Linked DNA regions of Solanum lycopersicum. The protein of the gene in region 2 binds, or shares a complex with, the protein of the main gene of each other region. Links are inferred from orthologs where the notes say so. Each region holds a gene or a part of one and is shown on either strand. Other genes may lie near its edges. The genes, in order: sm-like protein LSM7, probable U6 snRNA-associated Sm-like protein LSm4, sm-like protein LSM8 and sm-like protein LSM5.

Evidence for each region.
Region 1: probable U6 snRNA-associated Sm-like protein LSm4 (region 2) and sm-like protein LSM7 share a complex: the UniProt entries of both Arabidopsis thaliana proteins name them as parts of the heptameric LSM1-LSM7 complex. The link is inferred for Solanum lycopersicum from reciprocal best matches to the Arabidopsis thaliana genes emb1644 and EMB2816.
Region 3: probable U6 snRNA-associated Sm-like protein LSm4 (region 2) and sm-like protein LSM8 share a complex: the UniProt entries of both Arabidopsis thaliana proteins name them as parts of the heptameric LSM2-LSM8 complex. The link is inferred for Solanum lycopersicum from reciprocal best matches to the Arabidopsis thaliana genes emb1644 and LSM8.
Region 4: probable U6 snRNA-associated Sm-like protein LSm4 (region 2) and sm-like protein LSM5 share a complex: the UniProt entries of both Arabidopsis thaliana proteins name them as parts of the heptameric LSM1-LSM7 complex. The link is inferred for Solanum lycopersicum from reciprocal best matches to the Arabidopsis thaliana genes emb1644 and SAD1.

Annotation. Positions count from the first base shown.
Region 1 is NC_090808.1:3,547,063-3,552,715, forward strand, and holds sm-like protein LSM7, read left to right. Parts: upstream 1-2,287; 5' UTR 2,288-2,519; intron 2,520-3,717; 5' UTR 3,718-3,790; coding exon 3,791-3,793; intron 3,794-4,258; coding exon 4,259-4,340; intron 4,341-4,601; coding exon 4,602-4,673; intron 4,674-4,981; coding exon 4,982-5,034; intron 5,035-5,113; coding exon of another isoform or gene 5,114-5,194; exon of another isoform or gene 5,195-5,295; coding exon 5,296-5,385; 3' UTR 5,386-5,625; downstream 5,626-5,653. Other genes in the region: CAAX prenyl protease 2, read right to left, coding at 235-447, 592-648, 1,465-1,746. UniProt on the Arabidopsis thaliana protein: Component of LSM protein complexes, which are involved in RNA processing. Component of the cytoplasmic LSM1-LSM7 complex which is involved in mRNA degradation by promoting decapping and leading to accurate 5'-3' mRNA decay.
Region 2 is NC_090800.1:85,774,163-85,779,833, forward strand, and holds the start of probable U6 snRNA-associated Sm-like protein LSm4, read left to right. Parts: upstream 1-1,965; 5' UTR 1,966-2,171; intron 2,172-2,407; 5' UTR 2,408-2,441; coding exon 2,442-2,444; intron 2,445-2,533; coding exon 2,534-2,575; intron 2,576-3,067; coding exon 3,068-3,166; intron 3,167-3,251; coding exon 3,252-3,329; intron 3,330-4,603; exon of another isoform or gene 4,604-4,720; intron 4,721-5,583; coding exon 5,584-5,623; intron 5,624-5,671. UniProt on the Arabidopsis thaliana protein: Component of LSM protein complexes, which are involved in RNA processing. Component of the cytoplasmic LSM1-LSM7 complex which is involved in mRNA degradation by promoting decapping and leading to accurate 5'-3' mRNA decay.
Region 3 is NC_090805.1:47,956,424-47,961,894, forward strand, and holds sm-like protein LSM8, read right to left. Parts: upstream 3,308-5,471; 5' UTR 3,169-3,307; intron 3,014-3,168; exon of another isoform or gene 2,669-3,013; intron 2,007-2,668; 5' UTR 1,951-2,006; coding exon 1,914-1,950; intron 1,812-1,913; coding exon 1,771-1,811; intron 1,692-1,770; coding exon 1,617-1,691; intron 795-1,616; coding exon 742-794; intron 637-741; coding exon 546-636; 3' UTR 269-545; downstream 1-268. Other genes in the region: glucan endo-1,3-beta-glucosidase 14, read left to right, coding at 4,482-4,530, 5,063-5,471. UniProt on the Arabidopsis thaliana protein: Component of the nuclear LSM2-LSM8 complex which is involved splicing nuclear mRNAs. LSM2-LSM8 binds directly to the U6 small nuclear RNAs (snRNAs).
Region 4 is NC_090808.1:68,244,654-68,250,063, forward strand, and holds sm-like protein LSM5, read right to left. Parts: upstream 3,567-5,410; 5' UTR 3,420-3,566; coding exon 3,383-3,419; intron 3,219-3,382; coding exon 3,095-3,218; intron 1,207-3,094; coding exon 1,134-1,206; intron 1,015-1,133; coding exon 982-1,014; 3' UTR 711-981; downstream 1-710. UniProt on the Arabidopsis thaliana protein: Component of LSM protein complexes, which are involved in RNA processing. Component of the cytoplasmic LSM1-LSM7 complex which is involved in mRNA degradation by promoting decapping and leading to accurate 5'-3' mRNA decay.

The DNA.
Region 1 (5,653 bases), on a different chromosome or scaffold from region 2:
AGTTGTCATATTAAACATACGAAAACGCATCTGTATATATACCAAATATGCGGGGAGATGGTGGCATGAAAGCTATTACAAAAGTGAGTTAGTAATAACAGAAGTTTGAGGGTATTATTGATCTCGTAACCACGAAATAGAAGGATTCAAGTAAATCTTGATCATAATACAAAGATCAGATAACAAGGTGAACAGAGAAGGTAACCAGCTTAATATTCTAGTAAGGTTACTCACCACAATAAAATTACGCCATGCTGAAATATCAGACGCCATTGAAGAGACTGATTCAATAAATTCATGGACAACATTTTTAATACTGTCAAGTGACAAGCTTCTTCCATTTCCCCCATCTTCTTGGCCCGAGTCTAGCAACAATAACACCTTGAGGATGAAGGTGCCAGCGTACATTAAGGAAGTCAATGTAAGAGGAAAGACGACAGCTTGCCACTGTTTTAAACATAAAATTGCATTTCAGCAATCAGTCACCCTTTCTCAATCTGCGAGTCATAAAAGAGCAGAACTTGATAACAACCACATGCAAAGCATTGTCGCATGCAAAAAAAACTAATCCAGCACAGATATGATACTTACGATATGATCCAATCTGATGCCATAAACACCTGAAAGGTGAGATTTACCCCACTGAATCTGAAAGATTGAAAAATTGTATTAGACTCAGAATACAAGAGGAAGTTACTAGTAAAGTACTCTTTGCAGAGAAGCTCCAAAACCAATAATTCGTTCATAGATGAATGTAAAACTAATATAAGTCCTTGCTTCCAGCAAATGGTTTATTTCCCGTTTGCTATAGATTTTGAAGTTGAAACTTTAAACTTTAAACTTAAAAAATGAGTTTTCAAAGTGATTTTACAATTTGGAGTTGTGTTTGGATTTGCATTTTACTTGGAAAAAGTTTGAAGTTTTGTCCGAGGAAGTCGCCAAAACAAAAAAAGACTGGTGTGACCCATTCTTTGGGACGTCAAAATATTTAAAGAACAGATTTTAATCATGGCCAAACAGATATCAGATAAATTTTCAAAAACAACTTTCAAAATCAATGTCCAAATGCTAGCAAAGTATTTCGTATAAGAGGTGCATAAGAGATGATACATATTCTAACTGAGAATTAAAATGGAAATATACACATACATACAAAGAGAATCAGAATGCTCAGAGGAGACATCATGCTCCTACTTTAGCATCTTTTAACACTTCGCTTTGCTAAACTAAATAAGCTAGATTTCTCATATGCTCACTCAATTAATAGTTTAAAAAACCAAAAAATCCGAAAAGTCCACAACAAGCATGAGTTTCTGAGATAATAATTATTAGTTGTATTAACAAAATTACTCCGATCCTGTAACATAGCAACACAGAAAACGATATATTGAGCAACAGCAAAAAAAAAATTCAATCAAAGGTCAGAAAATGCTATAAAATTAGTACATGATGAAGGAATCTTACAGGGAGGAGAAGAGAGCAAGCAATAAGTGAGGTAACAGATGAAATTGCAGCGCATATGAACCGTCGAATCAAATACGATTGAAACGAATCTGGCGGCGGTAATCGGAGAATCAACGTCGGAGCATATAAGATCGCAACATACAAAATTGCCATCGCAGTGCACGCAATCACTGCAAGCGATTTCGACACATCACCACCGCCGTCTCCGCCGCCGATGAATGCTACTTCCATCGTCGCCGGATTTTCAGACGGATTTATTAGCAAATAATAATAATAATACATAAATTACAACACAAATTCGTTAAACAAAAAACACTGCTAAATAGTTTTATATTTTTGCTTTGATGGAAGAAATTAGTATTTTTATTTTAGCATGGGTAGTTTCGTCAATTACAACTTATAAGTTTGATTTTCGATGTAATCATTACGTAACTTAGATTATTATTATATTAAAACTAGTATAATAAAAACAATATATCACTTTAAATTTTTTAATCTAAAAATCATATGAAAAAATCTTAAAATATATGGTAAGATTTTATAGGCTAGATAAACGTTAAATTGTTTTATGAAAATGAGAATTATACGAGAAAATTATTAAATTCGAGTCTAATATTATCTAATAAGATGATTTTTAAGAGCTAATTTTTTAAAACAAAAACAAAATCTAAATATTGATCTAAAGAAAAGAAACAACAACAATATTACAAATAAACTCAATATAATTCTATAAGTGATAAAATAATAATTCTATAAGTTACATATGAAAATTATACGTGGTGCATACATAACCTTATTTGTACGTTGTGAAAGTAAACAGATTGTTTTTGATGACCCGAGAAAGGACATAATGGGTAAACCGGCCCAAATTCTCAACCCCATAGCCCATAGATAATAGGGGACGCAATAGGCCCAAATATAAAATACCTAACCCAATCAGTTTTACTGATCCCAGTAGAAATTAGGGTTTCTTCTCTCCGTCGCCGTTGATACGGTTGTTGCCGGTGGTGCTCCGACAGTTCAGTAATTCCCGTCGGAATTCTCGTTCTATCTAGGTAAGTTTTTGCCTTAATTTTTTCTTAAGTTTATAGAGATTAGAGATATGATTTGGAAAAATTCAATCTTTAGTTGTTCTAGTTCGCCTTTGAAGTTCTGATTTTTACTTATGATTTCTGAACTTTTATATGCTTTGTTTTCTTTCATTATTGCATTGTTGTTGCTGAGTATTAACTACTTAATTGTTTCATGTTGTTTTAATTTTGTGCTTGTTTCCTGTTATTTTTGAAGAATTTATTTTATGTCTCCTAGTCGAATATTCTGCTGTTTCAATCTCTTCTTGCTCGTTAGTTGTTTTTCTGTCCTTTGAATAATTTCTCGTTTAATTGTGTGCTCGTTTATCGTTTTGGTCTCCTTGTTTGTTTAATTGTGTACTCCTTAGTTGTTTTTGTCTCCTTGTTTGTTGAATTGTGTGCTCGTTAGTCGTTTCAACTGATGGAGCCCTTCAGCGCTGTAACACCCCTTGCATCCTGATCACGGTCTTCATATAATTTTGCTGATATTGTGGCCTTGACCTCTCTTCATTCCTTCCCTTCCTTTTGTGTCAAGATCATATTGGGGTTTTTCACCCAATGGTGAAGCTTAATGATCAATGACGTGTGTTGAGCACGATGAGGGTCTTGTATTCAAATTCGGTTGGTATAAAACACTAGTTGGTTTCTTCTCATCTATTTTAGCCTTGGTAGATATAATTGCCTTGCACTATAATGTGCGCTATAATGCCCCTTGCTTCATGATTGCAGTCCTTTTTGGTCTGTTATAATGCTGGGGTAGTGTCCTTGACCTCTCTTTCTTCCCTTTTGAGTTGTGTCAAGATCATCTTGGTTTGCTTTTGCACCCGTGGGTTGGCTTAGTTGTCAATGAATTGGGTAGTGCACTATGAGATTTCAATTTCAAATCCCAACAGAGACAAAATATTAGTTGATTTTATCCATTTGTTCTAGCCATGGTTGATAAAGTTTCCTGGCACTAGGTGTGCAAGCTTGTTCAGACAGCATGGCTATCAAAAAACAATAATTTGCTTTCTTCCTGCAATCTGTAGTACTTGAGTTGTGAGATATTGGTATGTGTTGTCATCATTAAATCACATTAGGAGGCTAACAATTATTAGAAAGCATATATCTGTATCTACTCTATACAAGTAAGTTTGCTGGACGGTGAGCTCATTTTTTTCTACTACATGTTTTTCTATTGCAGGATATATCCACCTTGTTGTAGCAATTTTTCTCCATTAGTTGGATAAAGAAAGCTCTTTAGACAAACAGAAGAAATGGTATGTTCTCACTTACACTATAGCCAGTAATTTGACAAAATTATCCTACTACTATCTAATTTACATAGTTTCTTGACTACATCTTCATAAAAAAACATTGTTTCTTGATTACATAAAAAAACTCACTTATCTAAATAGGGGTAAAGTTGGATTATGTAAGTGGACGCTTATGTTTGAACCAAGATTAAGGTTAAGTGGACATACATTTTGAACCGGACGGAGTACCTATTTTTGTAAAAGTAGTTCAAAGCTTTCTAGATTTTCTAAGTTTGGATAGAAAGAGGAAAGAAGAAAAAGATTCTTAAGGTATTTGTTGATGAGAGGGAGGTGAAAGGGTTAACTGTTACCTGCTAGTTAAGGTGTAGTCATGTTTTTTATGCAACAGCAAGGAGGAAATGTGTAAATTCTTTTATTGAATTTCAGTTGGCGTAGTTACCTCATACACTTTCTTGTTTCTCTGTTCAGTCTGGCAGGAAAGAAACAGTTTTAGATTTGGCAAAATTTGTTGACAAGGGTGTGCAAGTCAAGCTTACTGGTGGAAGACAAGGTGCGTCATGCAATGTCTGTCATTCATTACTCATAAGAATGCTCATCCACTCAAACACACCTTCCCTTGTCAAAACAATTTATTCCTCTCTATTTGCCAGTTGTGACTTGTTTTACCTCTTTGTCATGCTCTCTTGCTGTTGCTTGTGGAGTTATGTTGTTGATACTTGATACGTCATCATATAGTCAATCTGGACTCTGGGTTGTGAGTTGCACAAATTGCAATCTTTTTCTTTTCTGCTGATTAATTCTGTCTTCACAGTGGTTGGAACACTTAAAGGCTATGACCAGCTGCTTAATCTTGTCTTAGATGAAGCCGTGGAGCACCTTAGAGGTAACAATATTATCATAGCTAAATTTCGGAGTTTAAATTGTTTTAAATGGTGGTCAGTCGAGGAAATGTATTGTTTCGTGACTCTCATGTTCTGCATTATGTTAGCGTCCACAAGTTTTGCGTGTCTGCGCTGATACTGTATATTTGTTTTATCATTTTGTTAAGTGAAAATAATCTTTTCCTTGAAATCCCTTCATTATTTTTCAGTAGAATGGAGCAGCAAATTGCTTAATTAGATACTTGCTACTCATCATTTTGTGGAATTCCATTTGTTGTACAGTTGATGATTTTAAACTTTTTTTCCATAGATGCTGATGATCCCCTGAAGACTACTGATCAGAAACGAAGTCTTGGCTTAATAGTATGTGTTCTATATATTCTCTCAAAGAACATATTCTTTTAAAGAAATATCGTAACATTGGTTCAAGAATGTATTACAGCCTATGTTGCTCGCACTCTCCATGTCAGATGTTCCAAAAGTATACTATTTTTGGAGGATACGAGATGCACTGCATTTATGAAGAGTCCGAGCAACTTAGATTGCTACTATGGTTAGGTAATGTGGAAGGTAATCATAAATTTGACCTCTTTTCTCTGCTTCTTGCCTTCCTTCCACACACAGGTCTGTAGGGGTACTGCAGTAATGCTCGTGGCTCCAACTGATGGTACAGACGAGATATCCAATCCTTTTGTTCAGCCAGACGGGGCATAGAAGAATCAAACCTTGTTATTTCGAATTTAGCTCAACTGTAATGCTGTAAACATTCTGCACCTTTGCCTTCTATTTGCTAATATTTACTGTTTCTATTAGAGAAAATGCTTCTTCTTCTAGCAAAGCTGTAACTGCTCCTGCTGCGTTTTCATTTTTCTTGTTGATGTAAAGTCATATTAGTTCCCATTTCACCTGTGACAATGCCAGACATGTATCAAACATCGATTTCTGGCTTCACTATTTCTCGATTTGTGCCTGTCATTCTTGA
Region 2 (5,671 bases):
GTTATCACTTAAATATCTAATATTCGTAATTTTTAAAAATGTAATATGATACGTTTAAAAATATATTATTTTAATATATACTATATTCATTTCGAATTGATAATGTTTCAAATTTAAAAAAATCGTCACTAATATAATTTAATTTCATTATTAATTTTCACTATAAAGAAAGTACCATTAAAATGATGAGATGAAAATTCTAATTTAAAAAATACAATGCATACACAATAATTTAAATATAAGATAATAGTCTAATACATAAGATAATCATTTAATTACTACGTAAAAGTACAATACATAAGATAATAGTTTAAATACAAAAATAACAATATCATAAATAACATAATAACTTATTTATCATAACGATAATTTAGTAATTCAATAGGTCATTTTTAGATTTAGCTATATTCTGGGAAAAACAATGTATGGGCCAAAAATTTGTTATTACTGCGATTGTGCATATCGAGTTCTTTTTTCAATTATTTATAGTTGTTCTTTTTGCACGTAATTACGAACATTTATATCACTAATAACTTCTAAAATTATATTAAAATTTTATTTTCTTATATAACTTCCTTGAGTTTGACATATCTATTTAGCCTTACGTCGTCTTGTTGTTCGGATATAGCTACTCTAATTGTACAATAGTTTGTGGTAGATGAAAATTTCTAATTTGAACTATTTTTAGTTACGTAAAAATTAAGGATAAAAATATTAATTTTGAACTCCATAGTGCATTGTTACAAGGAAAAATTGTATATATTGGTAAACTAATAAATCAAATTAAATGCTATAACTATACTTTAATTTAATTGTACCCTGTAGCAAACTGTTTGTTAGTCATCTCTTTCCTCAAATTCTTGCTCGCCACTTTTCCTCTCTCGACTTGCTCCCTCTCACTTTTATACAAACACAAGTTTATAAGATGCAATTCTGTTTTTATAAAGTAAAAAAAAATTGTATATATACATACATTTTCTTTCCCCGCTCTCCGTTCTCGCTCGCTACTCTCCCATATCTCGCTCGCTACCTTCGCTTATACAAACATAAATGAAATGTGTAAATTGTGTTTCTGTTTGTATAAAGTGAGAGAAAATTGTATATAAACTTGCAAATACATATATCTTCATGCTATACACTTATAATTATACAATACAAATATTCCTCTGCCCAAATTTCCTTTGTCTTTCTCTATTTCTCGTTTTATACATACACAAATTATACAATTGATTTGTATACAACTGCTTTCTTTTGTATATGTATAGTGAATTATACAATTGGTTTCTTTGTACATGTTTAGAAATTATACATATTTATGTTTGCTATAGAGTGCAATTATGCAAACTTTGCTATAGCATACAAATTTGAATTTTGTATTACGATATGTGAAAGTTGCTCTTATTAGAGCAATTTGGGGAGTAACATAATAATCTTGAAAGTTGAATATTTATGTAATGTTTATGTAATTGTATTTCATTAATGATTTCACTTTTATTCGAATTGTGCTTTAATTTTTATATTATATAATACTTTATTGTAATTTATGTTATTTAAAAATTTAGAATAAAATATAATTTTACATTAAAAATTATTTTAAAAAATAAAAAATTATATCACATAAAAATTACCCCATAAAGTGATTATTTTAAGAACAAAAAAAGAAGCAATAATTTCTCTTATGAAAATAAGAATAAAATAGAAATAAAAATATAATATTGAAAAGAAATAAATAAATCCTATTTAGAATATATAAAAAAAAGAATTGAGTTGAGTTGATTTTCTAAAAAAACAAATTAAATTGAAGTTGATTTTAAGAATAAAGAAATCTATATTCGTAAATTAATAAAGAATATGATATTTATATTTATTTAATATATGCATGTCATCTATTTAATTTTATAATTTATTTTACTAAACTTATCCTGTTAAATATTAGTTTAAAAAAAAGGTGAAAATGAAAGTAGTAGACAATTCAATTTACAGCCCATGAAACGTGGAGCCCACCCAATTCATACTTGATAGCCCTAACGGCGGTACAACAGAAAATTTTCAATTTACAATAAAGCTGGACTCCACTTGCTACAGTTCAAGTTTAATCTACGAACCTTAACGCTTTCGTTTTTCTTTTTCTTTTTCAACAAAAGGGAGGAAAAAGACGAAGATCAAGCTAGGTAAGGCTTTGAATATCTTATATGTATTAGCAAAGATTATGCGTATAAACTATGCACTATCTAGGTTTTGATTGTAAAGAAGAGAGAATTTATAGATTTAAGTGTGCCTAGGTTTTGAATGTAAAGAAAGAGAGAATTTACAGATTTAAGTGTTTTTTTTTTTTGTGTGTGTGTGCGCAGTTCTTCGGGATCAGTTTTTTGTTGTATTGGTAATCCGTGTGTTTTGACTTTTGCAGGCAATCTTGAATTCGGAACTTCCCCCATCTAAAGATGGTAGGTTTAGCGACAATCGCTTTCTGAGCTGTAGGTTTAGGGTTTTGAGTTCTTATGAAGCTCTAATTTTATTTTTTCTTCTGTCTCAGCTTCCCCTCTCTTTGCTCAAGACTGCACAGGGGCATCCCATGGTAAGCTTTTGAATTCATGTGGAAGAGGGGTAGTGTCTCCTTATTTTGTTTCTCTCTTTCTTGTTTATTGTTTAGTCTGATCTTAATTCTTTTCGGTGTGGTAATGCAGTTAGCTCAATTAGGTTTTTCAAGTGCTGCATGTTTCGAATGAACCTGAACTTATGAATAACATACAAAAACAACAAACCCGGTGAATAAAGTAGTTATAGGTATACAGGAGTGTAATTCTCCTGGAGAATAACAATAATGATTTCATGTTTTGTCCAGTTGTTAGTTGAGGCTTTTGGCTAACATTCTTAAAGGCAACAGATTTTTTGTTGGTATAGTTTATCAAGTTTCTGCTTATTTATATAGTATCTCCAAAATATGCCACAAGTTTCTGGAATCCACGAGATTCCAGGGATTTTGAGATTTTGTATGGGATTATCGTTGTTTAAGTTGATTGTATTTGTTCAATTATCTTAATCTGGAAACTTTTGTTTTCTAATACAGCTGGTGGAACTAAAAAATGGAGAGACTTATAATGGTCATTTGGTGAATTGTGATACTTGGATGAATATCCATCTTCGTGAAGTTATCTGTACGTCAAAGGTAATTCATTGTTTATTAAATATGTTATTGCTAGGTTTTCAAATGTATTGGTGCAAGACCACATGATTTTGAAAAATCAATGCAGGATGGAGATAGATTTTGGAGAATGCCTGAATGTTATATTCGTGGCAATACCATAAAGTATCTTAGAGTTCCTGACGAGGTTAGTTCGTTTTCTTAATTGCTATGATTAATAATGCTTTTGTGTAGTATTATTCGCTTTTTCACTTGCAACATAGTGTGTATGGAACGTTTGGACCTTGTACTAAGGGAACAGAAGATGGGTGCCTATTTTGCAGTAGTTATTTGTGTTATTAAATGGTCGCTTGGCAGGGGTGACTGTAAAATTTGTATACTAGTTGTGGAATGGCAGTTTCTACTTAATTAACTGGGACTTAAATACTTGCTTTAGTGCTATCACCCAACATGACAATGAGTTTGAACAATCTTTAGTTGTCATAGCGATTACACGTTAATATACACAATAAATATTTTTTTACACGCCTCCTAACATGCAGGCCTGAATTTTTTTTCCTGTGCCAAGCTCACAACTTATTTGCTGATAATGGGGTGGTTGAGAATTGCACTATGTTGAGATGTGAAATGTGTGATAATCTGATGTAAAAGCTTAAGTTGTTAGGGAGAACACATTTTAGTTTACTTAATAACATCTTGTACGTAACACGGAGGACGGTCCATTAACACCTTTATCGTGGTGCATTTAGGGGCTTGGTTTGATGTAGGTAGGTGGACTCAAGATACTAGCTAATCTTGGTGTGATCAGACTCATGGATATACTTCTCTGGTTACTTTACTCAATGGGGCTTTTAGGGGTGGGTTTCAGTAGTGTTGTTGTAGGCTGAAGTTATGTTACTAGCTAATCTGTGGTGTCTGGGCCTATGGGGCTAAACTTAACTATGGCATACTTGGAATCAGAGCTGGAAAGCATAGAGAACCGGGTAGAAAGTTAAAAGAGGTATCAGCAGTAACACATGTCTAAGGAAAAATGGAGGAAACTGAAGGTTGAACTTACAACACAACTCTGATGTTCCTATAGGGTTAATATAAATGCATCCAATATTCTTGTTGCCTCTTTTCGACCGATAAAATAGGTTTCTTGAAGTGAAATCATTGCTGTGGTTGGACCATTAGTGTTTTAGACTTTGAACATAGTGTTCTTCTCAAATAAGATGTGTAGCCAAGTGGTTTTCATTTAAGATTCGGAAGTTGGATAATTCTTAGTTCTAAGTAATTATTTTCCAATATTAATGGCTTATTTTATATCAGATATCCTATACAAATTTTTTTTATAAAATGTTAGATATCATTAGGTTGAACCACTATTGATGTTGTTCTTTCTTGCATGCCTGTAGTCCACTGTGTTTATTTCCCCGTGACTGTGAGTAGCACATTCTTGTAAGAGGAGAATTGATTACGCTGATGTGATGCAATTTAGCCAAATCAGACATTGTTGTGCTCCCTATGGACCGTTGAATCTGACACCTTAGGTAGGAGTGTGACTCTATGAAGATGGCAATGAGAGATTGCTTTAGCGATGACGAGCTTCCATGTGAAATATAACATTTGCACTTTTGACTAAATAAAGTGGCGGCCCCTGCTTTCTGCTTCTAATTTCTTCCTAGAGATTCACTCTTCTGCCCTGTTTTTTATAGTTCATGACAGGCACATATGGGAAGTTATCCTAGCTTCTCTCGTCCATTCACCTTCCACACATTCATAGTTGATTCAGGAATGACCTTTGAGTTTTGGAAGTTATCCTTTTGTTGATCTTCTAGGAGTGCCAAGAACCATCTTTTCCCAGTGTTTAATTCCTTAGATGCTTTTCTTTTTGTTTGTGTGGGCTTTCAGTACTATCTAGGAAGGGAGATGATGTTTGAATACAGCTGTTATCCTAATCTTCTGTACTTCTCCTTTGTTTGGACACATGGGGGGGGGGGGGGGGAGTTTGTAAAGGAGATGTAGGTGAGAAGAGTTTTCATGGGCAGCTCACATTTTCTTTTAGAAGGTCATAATGTTAACAGATAGAAGTAACCTGTAAAATGAAAATTCTCTATATCCTTTCAGATGTAAATGGCAGATTTACACTTTCACTTCTACGAAAATGGAAAAGAATGCAGATTGCCTTTTCTTTTATACATAGAATAACTTTAGTATTGCAACATTATTTACTGAGAGGTTAAGCTTTGTAGATATTCTTGATTATATATATTTTAATGGACATGCCTACTTGTGTTGACTTGTTTAAATAGTTCATTTTTATCACTGGGGTTGGAGACTGAGTTTGCAGTAGTTCATTAATTCTGGAAGCTTAGTCTGCCCTTGGCTCTTCATTTGACCAAGTTAATAATCCCTCCTAGTGCTGTTTGGTTAACTATGCTATTTGTGTTCTTTTCCAGGTTATTGATAAAGTTCAAGAAGAAACAAAAAGCCGTGGAGGTACTTGCTTTGGACTATTAATTATAAGGAATTGTTATAACCACTTCT
Region 3 (5,471 bases), on a different chromosome or scaffold from region 2:
TTGCTAGTTAAACTTAATAAGAAAAAGACATTTACTTGCATAGTTGTTACTTCAAGGTCTAGGACAAAAATAATCACTTTCTACCCATTTAAGAGTTTTACCCAATAAAATTCTCTGACCATAGTCCATAAATGAAGTTTAAGAAAGGTAAGAGTATTACCACACATTAAGGACCAATTTGATCATTTTCTCGTTCTGTAAAAACAATAAACACCTTTTTAACAGAGACATTAAGTTCGGCTATCCAGCTTAAACAGAAGATGAGAGGTAAACTAAAACAGCTTGTGCTCTTAGGCACAGAAACATGCCTGCAGTTTTAATATGATAGTTATACAAAGTTCAAAATCTTTCGCAAGCCAATATCAGAAAGGGAAACTTATAAGACATATAACGACGACTAACGAACTATAACAGTTTGTGTTCCTAGCTACATAACATGTCTGAAGTTTTCATTTGATAGTTGTACCAAAGTCTATCAACTAAACTGATGTTTGATCCATCCATCATCCGTTCACAGGATTACAAGGCTCACACCAAGTTGCAGGTCAGTGAACGACTGGCTTTAGAGGATGTGCTCTCAGTTTTGACATATCCAAGTTACTATCAAGATCTTCATCTAATTCCCCAACGACGCTTCTGCAACAATTTAACAGGAAAACCTATTAGGGCTTAAAGGAATTCTTGTTTTAGGTGAACCATATGCATCCTTAAAAAAGAAGTGGCAGCAAACAGTGCACATACATGTTGTCTCCCCTTATGATATAAAGACCTAACACAAGTTGCTGTACACCTTCCTGCAAATAAAAGCTAAGGGTTAGTAGTACTTAACACAGCAAGCACAATAATGCAAATAAACCACAGCATAATTGGAAAAAGGTTTACTTATAGGGGTATAAGCATGGAAAAAAAAAAGGAACCTTAATGTGAAAAAAGCCCATAATAGCATGAAACTATAGTTAGCAAACAATTTCAGTCATACCAAAGCATCTTGTTTCACATCTACTGCAGACTGCTACAGCGCCGACATTCAGGAAAACCATACTCAACAACATACCCAGTGTAATCCCACAAATGGAGTCCGAGGATGGTAGGATGTACACAAACCTTACCCCTACCTTTGTGAGGTAGAAAGGCTGTTTCGGATAGACCCTCGGCTCAAAAAGGAGGAAAACCAAACTCTACCATGAAAAAATTATGTTACCCGATTTTCAAAAAAAACCAAATTGAAGATGAAATCTCACTCTTCATTACCTAGATTATGCAACCATGAGGGACTTTTTTAAATGCTGCTTGTTGCTTTGTACTTTCTTTGGCAATTTTTTATGAGAATATTGTCTACTTAGATAGAAAGTAGAACCTGAAAATTCAAATTTTCAGGCATTCAAAAAGTACTTCTAGTAACTGACTAGACTACCATGTAATGACTGAATAAATTCTAGCAAATATTAATGAGCTGGAAAATACTAAGAATCCTAGAAACTACAAGCACCAAATAGAAACATCCACATATATCAAAATGTCGTTCAGAAGTAATTTGTATAAATAACTGTACACCATTACTAAAATGAAATGTCTAGACATGATTAATGAATTCTTCAGATAAGACACAGACGAACCTTTGTTGAATATACTCTCTCATGAGATTCATCAAGAATCAAGTTTGTAGCCTGGTCGAATCCTCTCAGAACTCCCTGAAAAAGAATCAAGAAGTCAGCAAAATAAAGGGTCTCCAGCACAGTATTTGGCAACAAAAGCAAAACAATGTCTCACCACAATATTCCGTCCATCATTTGTAATAACTGAGATAGTTTCTGGAAACACCAAAAGAAAGAAAACAAATAGTGTTATTCCTTAAAACATGAGCTAATCTCATCAAGCAAGACAGAAAATAAATACAAGGACAGTCCACGTACGATCAACAAGAGACTCAAGCCCAAGTCCAGATGCCATGTTGCAGAGTGAGCTGAAACTTAGTTGTCAGCTTCTTGGTAAACTGATGCTAAAACCTTGTCAAAACATAAAAGGAAGCCCACAAGTTAAAATACTTTTAAGCAAAATAAATAATACTAATATGCAAGAATGTGGCCATATAAGAGCTATGTGGGCTTGAACAATTTGCTGGCTAAACTTATGGGTGGGGCATTTGCTCATTTTTCTAGGAAGAAACAACTCATTGAAAATATCAAACAAAGAGCTGAAGGCAGCCTAATCGAGTAGAGATTGGAATTATCATAATATTGTCATTTGCTTTAATACCAATAAAAGATATGGAGTAATGCAAACACAGTCAATTTTTGCAGAACATAAAATATTTCCAAATCCCTTTTTCTCATCCACCTTTAGTCAGTCAGTTTTCTAAATGGTTTTTTCTTAAATCCCAAGATCAAAAGCTATAGTTTAGGTTTCATAAAAACGAAACAGAATGTTTGAGTACTATCTATATATCCCCTTTTTTCCTGTTGAAAAGCTTACAACATAATTAAACCTAGATAGATTATTCCACCGAGCAAAGGGATGAACCATTTTACACCAAAATGGGCAATAAGATTTTCTACCAATTCTAAAGCAATATTATTCCTTCTCTGCATAACAACACAACTTCCACTATTCAGAGACTCTAGAATTACGAAAAAACAAATATCCAATAATAATCTTCATTTGAACTCACCTAGAACCTGGGAGATGGCAAGTATCCCATGTGCGCAAAAGCTGGCCTAGACACCACAGGAACTCACCGGAACAAATGTTTCAAATGCAAACAATACACAATCCCGTAACATTTATACTCAACACTGTTGATTTTTTTTTTCCAACTTTGCACATCGTATTAAAATTATAATCAGAATGCTGAACAAAATACATACATAGTACAGAAACACAAACATAATCAAATTAATTTCATTCCAATAAATATAAACCCTAAATTCCAGTACAGTACTCTCGTATCGTCTTCTAAGTTCGATATACAGTTCATACAGTACCTGAATAACAAAAGTTCATTCCGATATTAAATCTGCCGCCGTATCAGATATTAATTATATCAGCCGAATCAAATTGAAGCAACAAAAAAATGGCGGAGATGATTCAATACATGTAAGAGCTTAGAAATCGGAAAAACAAATAATTTCTACTACAAAGCAAAGAAGAGCCCTAAAATTAGTAATTTACCTGCGAAAAAAAATCGTCGAGGAGTTCTCGAAACTCGAACTGAGGAGGAGAGTGAGACGCCGTGCGTTAAAGTAGGTACTCAGTAAAATTACACAAGTGATCCTTATAACTTTTGTCTAAACTTTGATTTGGTCCTCAATATTTTACTTATCTTGAGATTTGATTCCTCAATAGATGAAAATTAAGCCGGAGTAGTCCTCCTAGAGCAATCTAGGTGATTTAACTACACTCAATTAGAATGAGGGGATTATGATATGAGATTAAAAATTATATCACAAGTATTGTATAGTATAATTATGTATATCATATGTATACAAAATTCTAACTATTAGAATAAATAACAAATTCATTAGTGATTTTCGTATGTGAAATTAAAGTAATATAAAATTTACGCATCCTTTATTCTTAATTTGGTGAAATAAAGAAATTATTTATGAAAAATCCTCAATTCAAATAATTTAAATCAAAAATACTTACAAAAATACAATTTTAAACAAAATAATTTCACACTTTATTTCAAAATTATCATACTTATTTGATCAAACAGACTCGTAAACTATGTGTTACTAATTCTTGTGGAGACATAGTTGAAATGAACCTCATTAGACCCTAAAAAATTCTACAAAGGTTTTTTGTATATCTTATACCCTATAAAATTCTATGAAGATTTTTTATATATGTTATACCATTTTTTTTATAGTAAAAGTTGATAGGTTGTGATATATAATATGTTGTTGTTTTTCTGTGCCATTGGTATAAAACATATCTTAATTTTTTTAAAATTTGATTAAAACTTTTAAAAAATATTTTTTTGAAGACAAGGAAAATAATTCCACAAGTTACATTTTCTCATGTTCCGACCCTATATGTTATCTTGTCATATAGTAATCCACAACTTAAATAATTAGAAATCTGAACACATCTAAATGACTTCTCCAATAAAAAAAAAACAAATTCCATAAGAGACATTATGTCAAGTTCCGATCACTCAATATCTTAGTATATAATTCAAAACTTATATATTTTAAATTCTGAGCTCGTTTTGCTAGTCAAGTACATGACAAAAAGAGGAAAGCTATATGATAAAGGCATTAGAATTAAGAGGGAAGAAATTAATGGCTGTTTTGAAAAGGTTGGAATAAATTCTAAAACAACATTAGAAAACATAATTCTAAAGTTTAGAATCTTTATTGTTTTGATTATCAACTATGCCATATTTGCCTAATAGAGAAGCATTGTATCCCAAGTTACCATCTTTGTTACATATATTACTAATAACTGGGAATAAAATTTATGTTACTAACAAAAAAAAAATGACTTCCTACTTGTCTTTATTCCTCTGTCTCATTCTTCTCTTTAATGGTATTTTTCTGCTCTTTTTTTAGGTTTTAATTGTCATGATCTCAAACTATAATTTGACTTGTACTATCTATGTCCTCAAAGGGAGTCTTGATGCAACTCATAAAGTTGTTATCATGTAACCATATGAGGTCATGAGTTAGAGATGTGGAAACAGTCTCTTGCAGAAATGCAGGGTAAGACTGTGTACAATAGACCCTTGTGGTCCGACCCTTCTCAATCATTGAATAAAGTTCAATAGGCGCCAATTAGCATCAATTGAGCTAGAAACGTTATAAAATGCATTCTACAACATATGTACGCCAATTGATGCTAAGTTGGCGCCTAGCTTCAAGTTGGCCCCCAACTCGCCCCTTATATAAACGTATTTTGAATGGAGTGACATGGATAGTGAGAATTCATATAGCCAGCAAATCCCAACTTGCTCAGGATTTGAGACGTAGTTGTTGTTTTGATCATATTTTGCATAGATGAGAAACAAATACTCATCTTTTTACCATGTACTAATACTTCTTTTGGTATTTGTTGTACACAGTTTTGGTGGCAGATGCATTTACAGGTACATATGGGATAAATTATGGAAGGATAGCAGACAACATCCCAGCCCCAGAAAGCGTTGTAACGCTTCTGAGGGCTAACAAAATAAAGAATGTTAGAATCTATGACGCGGATCATAGTGTTCTAACAGCTTTTAAAGATTCTGAAATTCAAATCATCATAGGACTTGGCAATGAATTTCTCAAGGACATAAGTGTGAATGAAGATCGCGCTGTTGAATGGGTGAAAATAAACGTACAACCTTACCTCCCCGGTACCTTGATTCGTGGCATAGCAGTTGGTAACGAAGTTCTCGGAGGAGGAGATACTGAACTGTGGGAAGTTTTAGTCCCTGCTGTTAAAAATGTGTATAATGCACTCGAAAAATTGGACTTGTCACACAAAAT
Region 4 (5,410 bases), on a different chromosome or scaffold from region 2:
TTATTCACTTTGAATCGCGTGTTATTGTATAGTATCAACTTTTAAAACAAAATTGAATCTTGTATATATTTTCAGTTCACTTTTACTTATTCACTTTGAATCGCGTGTTATTGTATAGTATCAACTTTTAAAACAAAATTGAATCTTGTATATATTTTCATCTTTCATTTTAATTGTTGCGTATTTTAAAAATATATTTTCATTTTTATTTATCACTTTTGATATATCAAGAAATATAATTAATTTTATTCAGGTTTAAATACTTTTTTTTCGAGACATCATTTAATAAGGGATAGTTTGATGAAATATCTATATCGATAATTATTTACTTAATAAATGTGTCAAATCAAAGTGTAATAAATAAAAGTAAACGGACTAAGTTTAAGAAGAATAAAAAAGACTTTTCAATTTCGTAATGTTAAATTAAAAGATAGATAGAATACACCAAAGTGTTTTTAAAAAAAAAAAAATTTGTTGTCTTACATGTGTTAATTAGAAAGTTAAAACTAAATATTTACTTTAAAAAAGTATAATATTTTTAAATGGACTTAAAAAAAATTGATTAATTTGAATTTACAATTTGCAAAGGCAAAGAGTCTTACTCTACCCTGCTTGGTTTATTATTATTTAGATTAATCAAAGACAAGACGAAATCACCTGATGTTTTACGCACTTCATTAACCATTAGACTACACCCTCGGGGCACAAAGAAATTAAAATGGATCGTCAACAGTAACCAACGATCCATTTGAGTTTTACCATTCCTGTAGAAACTCCATACAGAGTTTAAAGCTAATAGCTTGGCAACACCAGAGCCAAAGTACCATTGCAAGAATCATCACCATAAATGTTTTCAATATAATGCAACTACAATTGATAGTAGATCCTAGCTGAACACATGAGAATTACTAAAAATACATGTATCTCGCGGAAATCTTCATCAACTAGTCTCACTAAACAGCACAAGTTGCGTTGCAGTTATCATTCATCAGGTGGCGACCCTCCAGGAACCAGCTGCATTGAGGGGGGGAAAAGATTATATTCACGATACAATATTGTTATGCGAATGAAAAAAGGAAAAAAATGAAGAAAGAAAATACTATTATAGTCAGAGAGGGCTAGATTATACTCACGATAGCAATGTTGTTTCCATTGAGCAATATCTGATCAAGTTTTGTTATCCTCCGCCCTTCAGAAGTGATCTCGCTGTAACATGATTGAAAATTTGTTAAGCAGAGGAATGATAAAATGCTCTTTTCAACTATAACCCATGACCGGGAAAAATAAACCTGTCTACATTCTGGGATGGGGAATAACATGAACTTTACAAATGACGGACATACTGTTTTTCATTGAAAATTTAGGATATAATAACTTTTATGCGAATAATAAACTAGACTTAAAGAGAGACCACATCTTATACTGAATTGTCAATACAGCAGATGAATGCATCCTAAAACCTCCATTTTCAATATGTAAAGATAGTTTTTTTTTAGAAAGAATCAGTCAGCATCAAAAGTTGCAAGATATACAACGAAGTTGCTTTGAACGTGAAGTTACTACACTCAAGGAGTATGTTTTAGCCTTTAGGTGTCAACTCATGAAACTATTCCTATTTACAATGATCCCTTTAAGATCTGTAAGACGGAATATGCAAATAACATTTATCTTAAATTTGTACTAAAATAAAACCAAATCCTCACTCTAATAGAGATACCAAAGCTAATTTTAGTCCCCCAGCGCAACAGATCAGGCCTCCGCATCAATGACATACCCAGGGGCTGAGGATGGTAGAGTATACGCAGACCTTACCCCTAATTCGTGGAGGTAGACAGGCTGTTTCCAAACGAACTTCAACTCAAGTAAAGCAAAACAAAGGAGTAATACAAAATTTGATAGAAATGGCAGTGAAATAAATACTGAAAAATAGTTGCACAGTGGAGTGACAAATATTCCATTCAACTATAGCTCATAGCAGAGTTATGAGGCAGAAGCAGGACGGATAACTTTTCAAATGTCACAAACTATGTAACATCAATATTCAGGCATTAACGTTTATGCAGAGCTAACATAAAAACTGGTGTTTTTGTTCAAACTTCACCAAAAGTTCACAACTTCATTCTTGAATCATTTTTAACTACATTGAACACTAAACCCCGAACCCTATGCACAAGGGTAGCTTTAGTGCACCAGGCTGCCCTTTTCTTTAGGATGCTAAACCCCAATTCAGTTATTAGTACACAGGTTGCAATTCTAAACTCAGGCAAATTTGACCAGGCGCCTAAGACAATACAAAATTGGTCTACTTATTCAATCTCTGCTCCAAATCCAATGCACACAATTGAAAACATGCTAAAATCCTTTAGCACTCCAAAACCCTATAGTTACAATCTTTGACAAAACAATGGCAAGATGATAGCATTCTAAAACCCTAAATTTCCAATCTTCAACAAAACAACATCAAAATCATCAACAAAAAAAACTGCACCACACCATTAGAAGTATAAAAAGAAAGATACAAAAGACTTACTATTCAGTAACATCTTCAAGAACTGGTGTATTCAAACTTCACCAAAAGTTCACAACTATATTCTTGAATCATTTTCAACTACACACGACACCAACCCCAGTTCTCTTATAAGTACACAGATTGCAATTCTGAACTAGACAAATTTGACCGGGCACCTAACACTACACAAAACTGGTCTACTTAATCAATCTCTGCAATCCAATGCACACAACTTTATTCTTGAATGATTTTCAACTACACACAACACTAAACCCCAATTCTCTTATAAGTGCACAGATTGCAATTCTGAACTAGACAAATTTGACCGAGCACCTAACAGTACACAAAACTGGTCTACTTAATCAATCTCTGCTCCAAATCCAATGCACACAATTGAAAATCTACTAAATTCATTTAGCACTCCAAAACCCTAAAGTCACAATCATTGACAAAACAATGGCAAAATTATAGCATTTCAAAACCCTAAAGTTCCAATCTTTAACAAAACAACAGCAAAAGCATCAACAAAAAGAACTGCACCACCACACCATTAGAAGTATGAAAAGAAAGATACAAAAGACTTACTATTCAGTAACATCTTCAAGAACCATGTTAACATAAACATCAAATCCTCTAAGTGTACCAACAAGCTCCTTATCACCCTTCATTATCACCCATATCTTTGAACCAATGCAACGATCAATCAACTCTGCATATTAAAACCCATAAACTCAAAAACCCATCTCATAAAAATAACCAAATAACACAAAAATTACAGCAAATCCCTAATTAAAAAAAAATAATAATAAGAACAAAATCAAAAAGACACAAGGCTTAAAGTTCCAATTGATAAAATCTAGTTAAAGAAAGTACCAGAAGGAAGAAGCTGAGAAGGGTTGTTCGAAGACATAGCTGAGATTGAGATTTCACAAAGTTTTTCTCTTTTGCTCACAAAATTCTAATGGAGTAATGGCGGTGAACTGAAATAGCTTAAAACTGTTCAACTTTAGGGGCTTTTGTGTTTAGGGTGATTTCTTGAAGGGTTGAAATTGACATTTTATAAACTTTGAGCCTTTTGGGCCTGGATTTTGCCAATGGCCCAATATCAGACTCTTAATAATGGGCTTAGATTCTCCTTTCCTTTTCTTAAGGTATATGGGCTTGGCCCATTTAAATTTGAGAATTTGGGGAAACGGATACTAGGAAATTACGCATGATGTCTTTGAAAGTGTTCGATTTTAAACTTTTGTTCTTGATTGATAAAACGATCTCAACTTGAAAATAAATCGCAAGGAAGAACTTACGTTAGATATAGTTTGTGGTCAATTGAGCAAGTTTCGTATCACTATCATTTAGAATGTAATCGAGAAATAATGAAGTTCTGATTAAGAGTTCTAAATTATACGGAAAAAAATTATGAAGTTTAAATTTTTTATTAATTTAAAATTTCACAATTATGGTGTGAAATTATGTTGGAATATTGAATTCTTCTGAAAAGGATTCACGGAGTAAAATCTTTTGACAGTCATAACGAAAATTCATTAGAATTTCAAATTGGGTAAACGACTTATAGAATCTAAACTCCTAAAATAAATCACGGAACTAAAACTTTCACAAAAAAATTAATGAATTTTTAAATTTGAGAAACGATTTATTGAGTTAAAACTCTAAATTAATCAAATATTATTAAGGGCATGACTTTAGATAAGGTGGAGTTGATGCTACATATTCGGGTAGATAGTTGAATGGGTTAGAAAGTATCTCGCTTAGTCTTGTTAGTGCCTGTTGATAGGGGCGGAGCTAGCTTATGCCCAGGTTGGTCATCCGAACCCCTTCGATTGAAAATTATATTATTCTTTATGTCCTAATTTATGTAGTACTTCTCGTTTTTCAAGAGTCAAACAATTTAAGTTTGATCGGGAATTTGCGCATGAAATTTTCAATTTTGTTGAAATGAAATTGATGTATTTATAAACTAAGTAAAAAAATACTATAAGTCACAATAATTGATAATTTAAAATGTTTAAAAGATCTATGAAAAAATTACGTTCAAAGATAGACTTGTTTGAAGCTTGAAATTCGAAAATTATCGCATAAAATGAGACAGATGGAGTGTTTATATATGATTAAAATTATTTTTTTGTATAAATAATAAATGTTGAACCCCTTTCGAGTTTTGTACCCCTAAGTGAAAACATATGAAGGCTTCCACCAGTTCGAATGTTTATCTATTCATATTTTATACCCCTAAGTGAAAGCTTTAGCTCGGCCTTGTAATAATACTTATACACTATTTTATTTTTTTAGACTTTTTGTTGTTATTTTATTAAGTGTTGTATTATTTTTTTTATTACTCGAATTAAAATTTACGTATATTTTATTCTTTTCAAACTCTATCGAATGATATTTCACTTATTGTTGTTGTGCTTTAGTGAAAAGTTAGGTAGGCTATAAGGTGTGATTTTGGCCACGAGAGGGACCTTTTTAGAGGATATTTTGTCATGTGATTAAAGTTTTGTTAAATTCCTCTTAATTTTGAAACTCAAATTAATGAAATGGTCCATTTCTTGTTTCCTATTTTTATTTATATATTTATTTAATATTCAAAATTTGGTAGCTCACTAATTATAGTTTGTCGTGCTTTTAAGAAATTAAAAGTATTTATTTTATTTTTTTAGAAAAATAATATTTTTTTTCCTATAAAATTGGTGTGTTTGATCAAGCTTTAATGAAAAAATAAATATTTTTGATAATAATAATAAAATGTTTTCAGAAAATCTAAAAATACTTTTTAAAAAAACTTGTATAAACGCAATTTGCTCCAATAATACTAGCAAAAATATATATTTTTCTGACCAATCAAAAATATTATTCTTCAAAACTCAAAAGTATCTTTTTAAA